Linked DNA regions of Drosophila melanogaster. The protein of the gene in region 1 interacts with the protein of each later gene in a pairwise test. Each region holds a gene or a part of one and is shown on either strand. Other genes may lie near its edges. The genes, in order: in, frtz and fy.

Region 1 (5,527 bases):
GATACTGCTTCCGCCAAAAAATATCAACATTGAGATCGTTTTCGTCTCGAAATCAAGAAGGTTTCTTCTAATGAGCATGATTGATGCCACTGAGTACGCTGAACACAACCGATATCGGTATTTTTTTAAATTTCTCTGGGTGTAGTAATGCAGAGCTTTCACTGATAAGGGGTTCCATAATAATGTTACCGATTCTGGTGGGATTAGGCTAACATCAAAGACCTTCTATAAGCAGTCGATCCGCGTTGCCGGAAGCGTGAAAGTATATGTATATAGTTTCGAGAGCTGTTAACAATGCCCAATCAAACTGAGACTTGGGCAGGGATTTTTATTGGACTTTATTGGATAGGTTTACCGTATTTCTTTGTGCTGTCCCTGAGGGTTCCGTTGGGAAACTGCCACCATATCACCTCGTCCTTGATCAGATCCAGCAGACAACTGTTCCCATCATCCGATTCGTACTTCAACATGAGGGATTTGAGGTCCGTTCTCTCCTTGCTGACCTCTTCGGCCTCTTCGCTGGATGTTGTGGCTGAATCTGGTTCTATTATCAAGCCATCCTGGATCGAAAACTCGGTGTATGCTTCCCTTACGTTTCCAAGGAACAGGCATACTAATACGATCACATCCCATATATATTTTGGACACATATTCACTGAATTGCGCACCTATAGTGCTTGTAATGGGGGATTATAAATAAGATTTGACAGCTGTTTGATTTCACAATCACACAGATAATCGCGTTCTATACAATTTTTAGCCACTCATTCAGTTTCACTGGGTATTCCGAAATCTAAGCCACATTTTGTGATAGTTAACCGCGGCCGACATTTCCCGCAAATCACTTTATTTGCGGCTGGGCGAAGCACACGCCTTGGATTCGCGCAATGGACTGGCTGGAGGACTCAGCTTGCTCCGATGGTCAGCAGAAATAATAGGTAGCTGCGGTACACATGTGCGGCTAATTCTGCCATGATACGGCTTATCAATTTTGGCAATATCTTCCCTTGAATGGCCCGGGACTATCAGCGTATCGCTTTTTCGGTGGCACTGGGCGTCCCGCTTCACGCCCACGCCATGTTCCTTATCGGATAATTATCTGGACGTCGGAGTACGGCTATTAGGCCCGTACTTCAATGGGATCGGTGCTCCGGATCAACCGATATAGCCACGGCTCGCTTTTGGCCAGCACATAGTGAGTTCAGTGAGACACAATTTTCTATACTACTCGATTGTTTGCAGATAGAAAAGTTTTGATTTACGGCGTCCAGTCCGGAGACCGATATGAAAAAAATCACTTGGAAAATCTTAGATTATCAGACCATCGGCGATACGAAAAGGTGGCCACTAAAACACCCGGGTCCACAAATGCCCAATTAATTATATCAATTCCCTTCATATCATGCATACACAGTTTATTGGCCGTAAAATAATTTATTGGGAGATAGGACTTCAGCGGTAGTCTCCTATGACAAATGATCATCGGATACCCATTGAGGAAGCAACATTTTACTAATCTTCCGCTGATTAACACAATCCTTATGATAGCACACCAATTTTGCTTTAAGTTCCACCAAATCTTCAATGCGACTTTGTGCAGAGTCAGCATATCGCAGACGGAGCTCTATTTTTATAAGGATTTTCCATGATTATTATTTATAACTTAATATCACGCTGAAATCAACTGGTTAGCAGTCCAATCGTTAAATGCGAACACTTATAAAAAGAAAAGAAATTGGTTATTGTATTATGGTAACTATACTTGTCTTAACCCACGGTGGGTTTTGAGTTTCCCCAGCTTGAAAGAGAACCAGATCACAAAGGGAGTGGATCGTTTCCCGCTGGAATTTGAGTGGAGTGGTATTGAGCTGGTCGGAGCCAGAGCTCAATTAGAAACTGGTTTTGAGTGCTGAGATCGGATCTCGGCTTTCAGTCGACATTCAGAGCTGAGCTGAGGCGGTATCAACCGGCGGCAGATAGTTGAGTGTGTACCTGGAATAGTAGGCCACTAATAACTATCCGCCCAGTTAACTATCCCCGGTAAACTATGCGCAAATCGCCGGCCAGCCTGCCGTCGGAGGCCTTCTCCAGTTCGAACTCCTCGCTGAGCAACTCGTACAGCGATGGCAGCGACCTGGCCAACTGGGAGGAGTACGTGTCCACAGACGGCAGTCTCTTCTACATGGAGTATGTGCGATGTGAGAAGACTGGCGTCTCGGCAGAGCGGCGGGTGGAGTTCATGCGTCGATCGCTGCGCCTGGGAAAGAAGTCGTCGCGTCGCCAGCCGCACAGCAATAATCAGAATCAGAGTCAGAACCAAAACCAGTCCCACGGCCCGAGCAGGTTGGATAGCCAGACGGAGCCGCAAGAGTTCCGCTTCTCACAGTTCAAGACGGCTGCCCCCGATCCCAAGAAACTGGATCTGGTGATCACAGCCGCTGATCGCTTCCGTTTCGGACGACGATCCACGGCGGTGGAGTCCATACTGGGCTTCCGGGTCCTGCCCTTTCCGGACCAACCAGAATGCCTGATGGTCGATGGGTTCGTTCACGATGTGAGTGCGCTGCAGCACGGCATCAAGCGGGGAGATTGGTTTAGATCCCTGAATGGCATAGAGGTGTACGCCAGCAATGTGGATGAGTTGCTCAAGCAGTTCGTGGAGCCCACTCAGGTGTGCCTAGGCTTCCAGTCGTGCGGTGCGGCCAGTGCAGTTTCGCCCACCGATCCGGGGTATAATCGAAATGTCCGCGAGGAGCAGGTGTGCAAGGTGGAGAACTTTCCCATGTTCACGGAGAAGTTTGAGCAGATGTTGATAACGGAGGGGAACTTCGGTATTCCCGGTAGTTCCGTGGACATAAGAATGCCCTTTGCTATGCTGCTACTCCCACCGGAGTGCTATCAGCATGAACAGCAACAGGATTCCCTCTACTACTTTCCGGAAATCCCCGACAACTTCCTATTCAAGGCCCGTGGGAGTTTCCTCACCCTGCACGCCGTACTCAGTGAACTGCACACCCAGCCGCTGAGTTCAAGGCTGCTGGTGGATCAGGTGCAATACCACGTCAACTACCGCCAACTGAATGGGTTCCTAGTCCTCTTCGCCTACGCCGGAGGACTCTGCTGTGCGGCGGAGTGCAGCCTGCGATCGGATGAGCTAATCGGATACATACGCTTCTCTCTGCCGGGCTTGGTCCTGGAGAGCTTTAATCAGGAGAGAGAGCCGGGGAATAGTTCGAGACTGAAGCTGTTCCTTCGACACTTTTGCGAAATCCAGAGAACCCGGCTCGTAGCCAGATGCCATGGTCATATTCGTTTCGAGGAGCTCCTGGGCCAATCCCGCAGCCTGCCACTGCCAAAGGAAGCGCAGCTGCGCATCTTTGATGCTCTGAGTGAAATGGAGGCCATGGACTATCGCAACTGGAACGACGAGCCACTCACCACCCATCGCGAGTTCTTCATCTACGGCAGTGCGCTGTACTACGATGGCTTCCTGGTGGCCAGCCTGCTGCCACCGGAAGTGAGGGTGAGTGTAGAAGGATTCCTGCGCTGCCGCGGAATCTTCGAGTTGCTCGGAGCTGCTCCGGGAATCAAAGTTCGCGAGATGTACGTGTGGGAGGAGATAGTGTTGCCCAGTGCCACAGGGCGATATTTCCTTACCATCTGCACCAAGAACCACTTGAGTCTGGCCGTGATCTTGAAGATCTTCGATGCTCCAGACATGGCGCCGGATGCGGTGGTGGGTCCATCGCTCTTTTACATCGAGGAGATTCAAGAGACGCTGGACCACCTAGTACAGTGCGGCATTGAATCCCTGGCCATGTTCTGGTCCGTTTCCAATAAGAGACCCGAGGTGCTGGACGCCACTGCCAGCGAGAGTAGAGATCAGGAGAAGGAGCCGAACAACCGACTGGAGTCCTTCCTCAAGCAGAAGCTAACCGTGCTGAGTCCTTCGGTGGAGGAGGAAGCCCAACTGTGCTCGTCCCTGGGTGGGTCTTCCATACATAGTCTGACTCCCAGTGAGGACGAGTCCTGTCGCAGGCGATTGACCCCCATCCATGGTACTGCCGAGGACTCAGACAGCGGTTCCGACTGGGAGAACTTCGCCGTACAGCATCCACTTCACTATGGACTGAATCTCGGGGCCGAGAGCCACAGTCAGAGCCAAATGACAGAGTCCATGTGGAAGGAGATCAACAACGTGGTGCCGGTCAAGATATCCGCTGGCTGGAAGAATTCCGTTCTGCACTACGTCTACATTGACATAGCCAATGGGTCCTTGTTTGCGCCATTTACCGACAGCTCCGAGAACTCCAACTACCTCTCCGAGATTCGTCAGGCGTGTCACATAATCCACGCCGTGCTGCAGAAATCCAAGCACTATCGCAGGCATCTATCGGAATCCTCGAGAGCACAGACGAACTCGAACGGGCACAGTAGCCACACAGTGTCGCTGGTCAAGGAGCACGGCATGATCCTGGAGGTCAGCACGCAACCCAAGTCGGACGGGCAATCCCAATCCTCGACGAGCAGTCGCTTCGTGGTGGTTGGTCGTCTCTTTCAGTCGCCAGCCAAGGAAGTGTACGTGTGTCACCGGTCCGATGTTCCCCAGAACATAGTCGAAATGGCCTTCCGGTTGTCCTTCTTCTCAATGGGATGACATCTTGGAAGGATACTACCAACTTAGATACTGGCTATGCGTAGAATTCTTGCTATAATATAAACACAAATATTTAAAATGTGGTTTTAACTAAACAAATTACTTTTATATAGGCATTCAAACAATTTTTTAAAATTATATTTAAGAATGCATAATTAATCATTTTCAGCAATTCTATTACGAAAGCATTTGATTTAGGGGAAGTGCAATTTTGTATTTTCAAAATTCGAAAAGCGCAAGCTTGCCAAAACTCTAAGAAATTGAAAAATATGTACATTTCCTCTGAAACGCAGCGAATAAATATGTATGTATGAAGGTATTTCAAGAGGAACACAAACATCGTGCGAATGTGTTTCATTCATTCATAGTTCGTACTAGAGAAGCCATCAAAAGTGTACACTATTTTTAGAGTTTGGTGGGAGGGTCCCATTCTAAAAGTAGTTCCACGCACCAGAAGTCAAAAGACACGCCGACCAATAAATCCACGTGAACGAGTGGCTCAAGGTGGTGCTCCCCAAATTGCCAATTTCCCAAGATTCGTCGACAGTTGTGTTTGGGTGTTTCAACAGAAGAGGATTCTTGGTGGATGGATATGATGACAGCTACGTGGATGCTGTGTCTTGTTCTCTGCTCCACGGCGATGGCGACGGAGGAGGAATCGGGCAGTGGACTGTTCAACGTCACCGGGAATCCCTTGGATACAGAAGCTGCTCCAAAACTGCCCAGCGAAGTGCAGAAAGCTGTTTGCACTGTGACTGCGGGGGAGGTGAAGGCATCTGCCGAGGCTGTCACCACAAAAACCCTTAAGGGAGTGTGTGGATCAGGTGGGTGGTCAGTGGTCTCTTGCCCGTTTGATCTTGAAACTATTTA
Region 2 (7,115 bases), on another chromosome or scaffold:
CATCTACGAGTTTATCAAGTCCAAGTTGGTAAGTAGTTGAATTTAATGCGCACTAGTTTCCCTCCGACTTAAAATCGCTTTCACAAACAGCTAGAGCAGCGAAATCAGCGGCATACGGACACCAAGGGATCCCGCGACTTTCTGGAGTTCATGATGGCTGGCGCTGTTTCCAAAACCATCGCCTCCTGCATCGCCTATCCCCACGAAGTGGCACGCACTCGTCTGCGGGAGGAGGGCAACAAATACAACTCCTTCTGGCAGACCCTGCACACTGTTTGGAAGGAGGAGGGCAGAGCAGGACTCTACAGGTGGGTAAAATAGATGAGCAGAGTGAATTTTCAATTTGATACGACATTAAGGCAATCAACTTGTACTTAGGGATTCCCTTGTTCGTGTAGTTCCCTTGAATCCGTCTTGAAATAGAATCGAAGGGAATCCCACTTGCACTCCGACATGTATATAAGAAACATATACATATAAGCTAATGAATTATCATAATGTGCCACCCACGAATTCGTGAAATCTATTTAAATTCTTTTGCGTCGCATATTTTTTGTTTGTTTACCTTAATTTGATTATCACTCTCGAGCGTGCTCACTCGAGGTGTTTTATATATGAGAGCTCTACCTTAGCAAATTCTCCTACTAATTGTAAACTTTACCAACTATTTCCACAGAGGCTTGGCCACGCAGCTGGTGCGACAGATTCCCAACACGGCGATCATGATGGCCACCTATGAGGCGGTCGTCTATGTGCTCACGCGGCGCTTCAACAACAAATCGAACGAGTTCTACGACTTTTAGATGCCTTTCAAAGGACTGGAGAAGGAGTAACCCAATCTGTGCATATGTAGACGCGACTGCTGCAACTTTATGTAATTTTATCCCTCGTTTTTAAACGATCCAAACCAACGAGCGCAAATTCTTAGTTAACTAGCTTCTAAGTCAGATATGAAACGAACTCGATAGACTTAAGACGTTAGACGTTGAACGTTGGCCAACCAATCGAAAAAAAAAAAGAAGCAAACAAAGAAAAAACCAATAATGGGAAACACGCACCAGGATCGAAGTGCACCATCCACACCCTAAACCCACTTGCTGCATGCCACAGAAGGATGTGGTATGCCACCGCAGGGCGAAACGTTATCAAAATTTGAAAAGGCTGCTATTTAGTTAAAGTTACAATATATATTGAGTGTATAAATGTGGTTGATACTTGGATAATATAGTGTACATAGGACTCGATTCGCTCAGAGTGCATTGTAAATAGTTAAAGAGTGAGTTCGCTGGCGTAGTTTTCTTAGTTGTAAGCACAAAATGTTGAATCGGCCGCAGTTGCCAGTAGATGCCGCTAAATATATATATATATAGATATAAAGCCGACCGATCCGATTCGTAAACTGTAAAAGTTTCCGTTAAGTTTCCTCAAATGCGATATACGATTTAGTTATCATTACTCTACTATATTACTTTAACTATATTGATACAATTTTTGCTGTTTATTTAGTCCATTAGTTAGCTAGTTAGTTAGTTATCCCCCCCCCCTCCACGCAAAACGTATTTCACTGATAATGAGCAAAGAACTAAGGAAACCACTGTGAATAATTGATTGCAATCCGATTTGATGGTGAAATCAATAAATACAACAATTTTGTTTAAAAATAACCCACTCGTTTCCCATTTAATATATATGTACATTATCTTATCTTAACAATCGTCTGCAGTCGAACATAGTTCATCTTGGCTAACCAGACTGCCGCCCATAAAAGTGAGATGAGATAAGCCGATTTGGCCAAGATAATACGATTTCGCACAACTAAATTAAAGTGATTTATTGGCTAGCTACTACACTGCGAAAGTAGTGGTAGCTTATTGTAAATATTTTATTTTTCTGAATTTCAAAAATTTAGATCCTGGTTCGGGTACGTGCTAAAAACATAGCATAGCCTGGTTCACAACCTATGTGCTCCATCGAAGATCTCCACCACGTGAGCGATCGCAGTTGTAGTCCATCTATATCACGCCACCACCACGCTCAGCGACGTAACAAAGTGCCGTCTCTAGTAACGTAAGCAGTGTTTCGAGCAACAAGTTTATTTTATTTTCATAAACAAAGTTTGTTTAAAGCGAAAAATCCTGGCCAAAGTGCTAATTCGTTGGCTATTCCGCGAGCAACCTTGATAACGAGTCGCAGAGCAGTCATAGAGCAGCGCAATTAACCCCGATACAAAGCAATCAGTGCAATTGGAGCAGCTTGAAAGGCACACGCCAACAAATCGAGATCGAGCTGATCGAGTCGCGTTGACACCCATCATTCCGCCATGCAAATCGATGCACTGGAGGCCTGAATATGCTGCTCAGCGAGACCCATTTCTGGACCACGTTGCGCGAGGATGTGGTGCGGATCAAGAGCCAGGACCTGGGCGCCTTTCGCTACCTCAGGCAGCGCGACAAGGAGCAGGAGCAGCAGGACCTCGCCTGCCTGGCCAAGCGAGACTATACGGAGCGTCGCAATGGACTGGCCGTGCTGAAGAACTCTGGTCGCAAGTCCACCGGCCGCTTGAAGGACAACCTCAAGAAGCTGGAGGACCTGCTGCGCCAGCACAGGATCATCCACTCCGAGTGGCAGGACGCGGCGCAGGTGCTGCTCCTCTTCTCACACGGCCTGATCGCCCACATCTGCGTGGACATCTACACGGGCGACATTCTGCGCATGGTCTTCGAGAAGTACCTGGTGGGCAAGCTCGCCTCCGAGGTCATTACGGATGGTATGTGCGATTCTCTCCTTTCACCCGCTCCAGCCCGCCCTCCATCGCATTAGAGCCATCCATCAATCAGCTTGGGCATTGCATTTCTGCATGTGCAGCTCGACTGGCAGACATCTCAACTTGCAGCGTTCGAAAATCAGTTAATATGCGTTAACATCACGCAATACATAATGGCTATTTCAGGCGTAATTAAAGGTTCCTCATCATTAGAACGAATTACCAAGACAGCTTGCTAGAAACACATGCATGCCATTTAATTATTCACTAAGCTCTCAGCTATAAAAGCTGTCCTGCATTTAGTTCTTTGTGCTGTTTGCCGCTTGTCATCCAGGGTATCAGTCATTCGATAGAGTGCAGTCCGCATTTGGCCTTGCTCCGCGGAGTGCTGCTTGTGCAGTTATGGAGAAATTTGCATTGGCAACAAGTGCGACTTGATTTGCACTTTCCCACACCAACACAGCCGCACGCACACATGCAGGGCATGCAATTATTGTAATTTTTAATTAATCTGCTGGCTTGTTTTGTTGCCTGTAAATATGCGAACCCCCAACCCCTTTCCCCCATCCACCATCCTCCGGCTTTCCATGTTTTGTTCGAGCCACTCATTCAGCTTTGTCGCTTGTGTCTCTTTTCTCGTCGTGCGCCCGCATCCGTTGTCTCGCCAGCTTTTTTCACCCGTTCCCACATCGTCTTGGCCTACAATACCAACCAGCTGACGGTGGTGCATCTGCAGAGGCCTAATGCTCGCTCCCAGGGACCGGAGAAGATCGCCAATATGGATCCGCGCATCTTCCACGTGATCATACCGGGCGCCACAGAGCGCAAACTATCCCGCCACCTCACAGTTAACGCCAGCTTCGATCTGTTCGTGGTTTGGACGCAGTCCTCGCAGAACGAGGTGTATCCCTGGAGGCCAACGATAAGGGACCAAGATCGTGCCAACATACATGTGTTCAAGATCAAGGGGTAAGTTGCACAGTACAACTCCCACTCCATGGCCCAGTCTAATCGCTTTGCTCAGCTTGCAGCTGGAATCGATTGCCTATTGCTGGTCGGAGAACGATCCGCTGTGCGTGGACTTCCTGCGAAGCAGCGAGAGCCAGATCATCACCCTGGAGCAGAAGGTTTCCCGCAAGGGCGACATAAGCGCAGAAATCTGCTCCTACGAACTGGCCGCCGGCAAGATGCAGCGCACCGCCATTACCTCCATTCCAATGGGCGCCCAGATCTGCTCCTTTGCCTTCAGCCCCGACCAGGAGAAGCTCTTCCTGGGCAGCGTCGATCGCAATATCTGCCTGCACGACCTGGTCCAGCAGTCGACAAAGTACGCCAACCAGATTGAGATCGTGCCCAATCAGTGCGCCTGGCACTGCGACTCCGCCATGCTTTGCGTGGCCAACGAGCGATCGGTGCTGCAGTGCTTCGACCTGGCGCTGGCCACCATTGGCCATCAGCTGGTTAGCGAGAATGTGACGCCGTCCAGCTTGCTGGATCTGTCGCACTACTTCGTGGCCCAGCCAACGCTGCTGAGTGTCGCCTTCAGCCGAAAGCCAGATTTGTCCACTTTTAAGCACACCTACGCCCAGACGGATTGCCTGCTGCTGCTGGTGTACGAACAGGGACCTTTGGCCTGCATGCGCATCTTTGGCGGCACCGGAATGCGCGGCGACATCCACAATTCCGGACTCACTGCGGACGTCATTGCGGACAAGTATCTGCGGCTGCAGCAGCCGGACAGAGCGGTCAATGTCCTGGCCGCCCTCAACTGGGAGACCTACGGAGCCATGTGCCTGATTACGCTGCACAAGATAGCCAACTATGTGTTCTTCGGCGGTGACCAGCGACGACCTCGCATCGAGCTGATGGCCAGAGCGTTGAAGACATTCGCCCACACGCTTTCCGAGGAGACGAAGGACGAGTTCAGCGATCAGGTGTACGATCTGAAGCGCCGCTTCTGCTTCTATCTGCTGCGGTGAGTTGAGCTCGTGTGAACATGCCACTTTTATGCTCAATCCTTTCGTTGCTTGCAGCAAAAACCTCTTCGCTGAGGCCTTCGAAATCGCCCAGGATGTGGCCGACTATGACATCTTCATGGACCTGTACAACCTAACCAAGTGCATCTCAAGCCTGAGTGAGTTCGCCCAGGTGGCCTTCAGTCAGGCAGCTGCCATAATCCACGAGGAAGATCGCGCCAACGGCAATCTCAGCCTGACCTGTGACCTGCGCTCGGAGTCGGCCTGTTCGCTGTCCACCTGCTCGGACATGTTGCGCGGTCAGGGAGCAGGAACTGCCCCCGAAACCGGACTAGGCGCAAGTCAGCCACAAAGCCAGCAGGTCCTGAAGAACTATGTGCCACCGCTGCCCTCGTTCAAGTCGAAGGTATTCAACGCTGAGATGATCAAGATCAACATACCGAAACCGGAACTGAGGCCGCCCTTGCCGAAGGTTTCAATAGCGCCGCCAACATCTTCGCTGGCGAGTCTAACCCTGAAGTCCAACAGTAGTCTGCAGCAGGCGCCCGCAAAGAGTCTGCATCCAAATGGTTCGTGTGAAGAAAATTCCCTTCATAACTTAAATAATTTATCCATTATTTCAGGCAATTTGTGGTCCCAGGACGTGCCGGATCAGACGGTGGGTCTGCCTATGGCTAGTAGTCCACTTCCTCGTCTTCCGCCTTCAAACATTCCAGATCAGAGCGCCCAGCTGGGTCAGTTCAGCACGATGCCAGCTTCGCCTCCGCCGACAGGGTCCTATCAGCCCAAGTTTTATCAACATCCGCTTGTCTCTGGCAATATTCCCGCCATGCTGCCATCGCTCACCAGCGAGGACTACCAGAAGCGCCTGCTGCAAAAGAAACCCACCGCATCCATATTGTCCAACCCGGCGAATCCAGCACCCACCAACGGAGAAGCACCCGCCACGCCCGCAAAGTCACAAACGGCCGAAAAGAACAAAGTCAAGTTCTCGGATACAATTCAAGTGGCGGTGGTGCCAGTGAGTTAACAAATCAATCGATGATGTGACAGTTTACTAATGCTCTTACTCGAACAGGAAATTCCTCGCAAGGAAAAGCCAATGCCACCCAAGAGAAATGGTTACTCCAGGCCCGCTGCGCGACATCTGACAAATCCTAAAAAGGAGCTCGCAGACAGCCTGCCGCTCTGTCATCCGAACGACGAGTATCTAAAGGATTTCAACCCCATTACGACCAGTGGGTATTTGTTGAGTTCACCAATAACCTTGCCCCATTGACCGTGTCATTTCTTCGCAGATGTGACTAAGCCGCCCATCCGACGACGCGAGGAAGAACCCAAGAGCAGCAGCAAGGGCGGCAACTCCTCCTCCTCCTCGTCGTCCATCAAGGTGGTCCACTTCGGCGTGGTCTAATAATTCATAGTGCAATTCCCAGGCGTACACCACACAACGGTTAAGCGCTGCGTCTTCCAATCGTTTGTAACTATTGTAGTAGGCTGCTCCTTCTACCCTCTTCCTTTACTCTTAGTCATACATACCTAATTATACATAGCCAATCTAGTCATAAGCTTATACACTCATACACCCATCCTTAACATACAAATATTATCGAGAAACTTATCGACTAATCGACTCGCCACTCTGCAGAGAGCGCGGCAGTCAGTCGCTGTTGAACCAAGCTAAAGGACAGATCAAAAATAAAAGAGACACGTGAAATTGTATTAGAATATTAACTTCTGTAAACGGCGGCTAAACTATTGCCGTCCCAGTTAGTGCAAAGCTTTAAATAGGAAAGTTTTACTCATAGGTTCTCTATACTCTTTACACAGGTTACTCATTAAAGCTAAGCATTAAATGTTTGCCAAATCGGAGGCGCCGCCTACTTCTTCCTGGTGGTGGTGGGTCCGCCCATGCGCTCCAGCTCGTCCTTCAGGTCGAGCAGCTCCTTGTCGGGCACGTAGCGCCGCTCCTCGCAGTCGTCGGTGTACTCCTGCACCTGCAAGCTCACACCCTCGGGCAGCGCCGCCTGGGCCAGGCGCAAGAACTGCGGATAGACTGGCGCATCCACATTGTTCAGCTGCAGGTTGCGCTCGTAGGTGGTCAGCTTGTACTCCGATTCGATGACCGTGGAGTTGGGCCGCAGTCGCTGCACCGTGGTCTTTTGCGGAGGGAGGGCGTAGCAGTCGGAGACGTCCAAGTCCAGGTACTCGGCCAATCCGTGCAGAAACCTCTGGTAGCTCTCCAGCTGCGGGTAGTCGTAGCCCTTGATCTGCACATTCAGGCTCTCGTACTGCGGGAATTTCGGCTTGAGGGACTGCAAACGGAGAACAATGGTTACTGACCACCAAAATAATTGCTCATCTAGTCTGATCTG
Region 3 (4,021 bases), on another chromosome or scaffold:
CCCAGCGGTATCCAGTTAAGGAACCTCAGCAGAGTCTCCAGCGTGACATGGATTAGGGCGGCATTCATCGAGTTCTCCAGCACGAAGGAGCATAGTGTAAAGATCTGAGAGAACTCCGAGCACATGGTGTCTTTCAGGTGCTTGGCCTTAGTCTGCGTGATCTGACCCTGCGAAAAGTCGAACACCTCCTCACTAAGGTTCTTCAGGATTACCATGTTGTTCATGCACAGGCTCTCGTTCGTTTTCGACGCACCGACAATGTCACTGATGAATGTCTCCCAGTTGCGTGGCCATTCGCGCTTTAGAATGTGGACCAGAATCATGTTTAGCTTATTCAGATACACTTTGTTCTGCTCCATAACAATGGGATCCGACGAGGTCTTGATGATAAGACTGACCACATACTTCTTGATTCCCTCGCACTGGTTGCGCGGCAGGACCTTCCAGCGCGTTTTGATGACCTCCTCGAGGATTTGCAGAGCATAAAACTTGGTCCGCTGGTTCTGTGAGTACTCCAATATGCTGTCCACCCGCGTCCATGCCTCTGGATGCTCCTTCAGCGTGGTCAGTATGCTCTGGGCTAGACGCAACTGCTCGCCCTGCGCTGTGTACACAACCTCGACGATCTTGTCCAGCAGATTAATGTCCAGCTTCTGGGAGAAGTCGAGCAGCTTGCCCGCCTCGTCCGATGTCAACATTGTCGCCATCGCTTTGTAGTAGAAGCGGCGTTCGCGTCGGCGTCGCTCTGCAGTTGTGTCCGCGTTAATTTTGATAGCTTCTTGGCTTCCTCCTCCGCCGGATGAGCTCGGATCTCACGTTTTTTCCCTTTGGATTTCTTGTTTTTGCTGTTTTTTTTTTCCACTTTATTTATCGAAAGTGCGCGGCGGCTTCTGCTTCAGCTTCTTCTTCTTCGCACTATGATGACGGTGAGGAGCGGCGACTCTCGATCTGGATCGGGATCTGGATCTGGTGCCGGGACTGGACCTGAAGCTGTGGAAATAAGACCGTTGGTTATACATATTGCGTACTTTTACGCCTGTCGACAGGCAACCATATTTCTTTTTTGTTTTCTTGTTTCATTTTTTTGGAACACACAACTACAAGCGCACGCTGTTGCCTGCGCGCGCTACACTTTTTCGCACTCGCACACATACAAGCGCTCGGCACACCACACATACGCACACACTGGCACAGGCGAACGCATCGCCGCCGCAAATGCGACAAGACTGCGGCGGCATTTCCCAAATTTTCTTAGCTTTTCAAAACGCGCCAGCGAGGACGCAGTGTGTAATTAATTAACAATCATGAACATGTAATTCACATATCAAGCTTACCTTTTACCGATTCCAGAAAAGAGCAGCGTGTGAAAACGACGACGACGGACAATGCGAAATGCAATTTGTGAGAACAGTGTGCCCGTATGGTGCTGAACAAACATACGTCCACAGCCCTGGTCTACAGGCATGCACGCAAAGTGATCGATAACGTTGATCGAATAAAATAATCAAATGGCATGGATGAAGATGCTTAGTTTGTTGGCTTACTTACTGCCAGAAACATCGATGTCCCTGATATCGAAAAACATCGATGTTTTAAGCAGCGATGTTTTAAAAAAAAATACAAAAAAATATTATCTGTTTAATTTAATGGAAAAACAAACCAGTATGCATGCATGCATAAATTGACATAAATATATTTGAATTTGATCTGTTCTCCTGAATCAGCTACAAAATACTGCATCTTACTGATTTATTACATTAAAACACTAAAAGTATGCAAGTAATTCAGATAAAAGTTTAAAATAAATCATATTAATTTACTAGTGCATCGCTTATTTTCGATAATTCAAAACGAATCGATTTAATCGATGTAAGCATCATACGTAGCAGGTTCGGCGAAGAAGAAGAGCTGCGATGTCCATCTATTTGTTATGTTTGACAACAAACGGCGGATTGCCAGTGTTTACACGAAAGAAGGGAGAATGCGAAAATGTAAGAGTAACATATTGCCTACCTATTCACTTAGTTAATACCCTTTCTCCATATCCAGCTGCCCTTCTCGACGGTGGCCTCCTTAAACGGCTTTCACATGTTCTTTAAGTCGCTGGGAATCCAACTGGAGGCCACGACGACCAGCAAACAGCAGCCTATCCAGAATCAGGCTCCCGCGGATGCCGAGGAGTGGACTTACATATGGCGCGACCGGGAATCCATCACCCTGATCGTGTGCGGCTGCGGTGTTGGGTCGGAGCAACTGCTTCAGACGCTGGCTGATCTTGTCTTTGGAGCGATAGGCATGTTCATTACCCGGGCCGCAGAAATGGCACATGCAACGCTCCTCGATAGACTGAAGAAGGACGCCAAGAAGTATGTCCCGATTGTTGACGCTATTCTGGAAGCCGCCTGTGCGGGTACACAACTCCTGGGCTACACGGACTGTCTGCTGGCGGCGGAAAACGCCCAGCTGCTGCAGTGTCTAAATGAATTTAGTGGCCACTGTGGCTCGCTCTTTTGCTGCCTGGTTGTGGGACACCGTATCGCTGTGGCCACTGAGGGCTGGTGGGATCTGGACACTCGGGACCGCGAGCTGCTGCTGTTTCTGTTGAATTCGTCGAGCACAATGCAACACGATGTGCCGGTCTATTTGCCCGTGAAAAGTCCCCATATAGCCTACCGCTTTGTCAGTATTCCTGTGGCGTCGAACAGTGCTCTGTGTGTCCTGTGTGGCGCTGAGAATGCCTCGTTCCGAGAGTTGCATGCACATGCCATGAGTGCCTACCGGAATGAAGGCAACCTTTTGGCAGCCGCCGAGCGATGCGTGCCGCGCAGTCTGCCCGAGCATCTGGAGATCGATGGAAATGTGCTGGCCATCATTCTAATTAACCGACACACGCGAAAAAGTCTCTTTACCAGAAATCTAAACCAGTCGGCGAGTGTCAAGCGCATCATTGTGGGCGATCTACAGCGCTTGGACATTCTAAAGAAGTTTTTCGATCAAACTATGGATGCAGTCCACCAATTTGAAACCCAGTCGTCCAGCAATAAAACTACGTTAGTGGACCAATATAGCTGCTCGGACTACCACAAGTGCTATGCCCATATGGATGAGCTGGGCAATGTCATATTCTTGTTGTTTGTGGCAGCGGTGCCCTCGCACGCAATGAGGTGCGATTATAATTATTTACTTTGATGACAAGGTTTTAAAATCAGTATTGTATTTACAGATTCCTTGCGCAACGCATCCATGCTAATATACTCCAGGAGAAGTCAGTATGTTGGTGATACGATATTTCTTTCTAAGCCTAAAGACTGATTTTTGTTACTACTTTTCCATGAAATAATGTTTTTTTTTAAATGACATTATATTTAACGAACAATAGGGTACAACTCCTTTTCTAAAGTTAAGCGTAATTTTTGACAAATCTTATATGTATATGCTACATACTAATATGGCTTTAATGACTTACAATTCCGTCCTTACAAATACTATTTATATATTTTAAATATACAATATGTCCTTATCCTTTTATTACAACATTGTATGGGCGACAATAGACCAGTTGTTTCTTGTTTAGCTCTAAGGGCTTTATCCTTGGATCCAGAAAAAATTGTACTATAGATCCAACTGTAAGTTGTGTGGTTTCTCCTTTTGGAGGAAGAATATTGAAACTACGTCCATTATCGGAAGCCACTAGGGCAATGGTAACACCATACTGGTTTGTAACAGACAAAATTTTAGCCGTGTGAGTGGCTGCATGGTTTTTAAGTTGACGCTGATCCATTCTTACTTTTTTGAGGACTTTACGGAACTCCTCAGCATAGCCTCCTTTAACACAGCGAGGGTTTGCCTTCAAATTGACTCTATTTTGGCTACTTGGCAGATACTGCCTAGGACTTTCACTAGGAACAAGTTGAATAGCTGGAGAAGATTCGGTATAGCTATCCTCGGTCAATCCAGAGCAGTTAGATTTATTCAGCGAGCTTTGACTTAACGATTTCCAAGAAGTTTGGAATGAAGACGT

Evidence for each region.
Region 2: the proteins of in (region 1) and frtz interact in binary tests that used the Drosophila melanogaster proteins (3 or more experiments, as listed by UniProt).
Region 3: the proteins of in (region 1) and fy interact in binary tests that used the Drosophila melanogaster proteins (3 or more experiments, as listed by UniProt).

What each region holds. Positions count from the first base shown.
Region 1 is NT_037436.4:20,365,269-20,370,795, forward strand, and holds in (inturned), read left to right. Parts: upstream 1-1,929; 5' UTR 1,930-2,047; coding exon 2,048-4,657; 3' UTR 4,658-4,991; downstream 4,992-5,527. Other genes in the region: Toll-9, read right to left, coding at 356-650; CG13247 (uncharacterized protein), read left to right, coding at 5,244-5,481. UniProt on the Drosophila melanogaster protein: Plays a role in the definition of cell polarity via the planar cell polarity (PCP) cascade. Acts downstream of fuz and accumulates asymmetrically in wing cells to regulate planar polarity in the wing. Probably acts by regulating ciliogenesis.
Region 2 is NT_033779.5:1,710,791-1,717,905, reverse strand, and holds frtz (fritz), read left to right. Parts: upstream 1-2,054; 5' UTR 2,055-2,349; coding exon 2,350-2,767; intron 2,768-3,432; coding exon 3,433-3,733; intron 3,734-3,788; coding exon 3,789-4,739; intron 4,740-4,797; coding exon 4,798-5,309; intron 5,310-5,363; coding exon 5,364-5,761; intron 5,762-5,818; coding exon 5,819-5,978; intron 5,979-6,038; coding exon 6,039-6,154; 3' UTR 6,155-6,604; downstream 6,605-7,115. Other genes in the region: Rim2 (replication in mitochondria 2), read left to right, coding at 1-28, 91-308, 677-803; mRpL48 (mitochondrial ribosomal protein L48), read right to left, coding at 6,621-7,055. UniProt on the Drosophila melanogaster protein: Probable effector of the planar cell polarity signaling pathway which regulates the septin cytoskeleton in both ciliogenesis and collective cell movements. Functions cell autonomously to regulate wing cell hair polarity and number.
Region 3 is NT_033779.5:8,400,974-8,404,994, reverse strand, and holds fy (fuzzy), read left to right. Parts: upstream 1-1,714; 5' UTR 1,715-1,913; coding exon 1,914-1,991; intron 1,992-2,049; coding exon 2,050-3,164; intron 3,165-3,223; coding exon 3,224-3,281; 3' UTR 3,282-3,517; downstream 3,518-4,021. Other genes in the region: emb (embargoed), read right to left, coding at 1-707; CG31898 (uncharacterized protein), read right to left, coding at 3,518-4,021. UniProt on the Drosophila melanogaster protein: Plays a role in the organization of cell polarity via a planar cell polarity (PCP) cascade. Involved in the development of the hairs on the wings.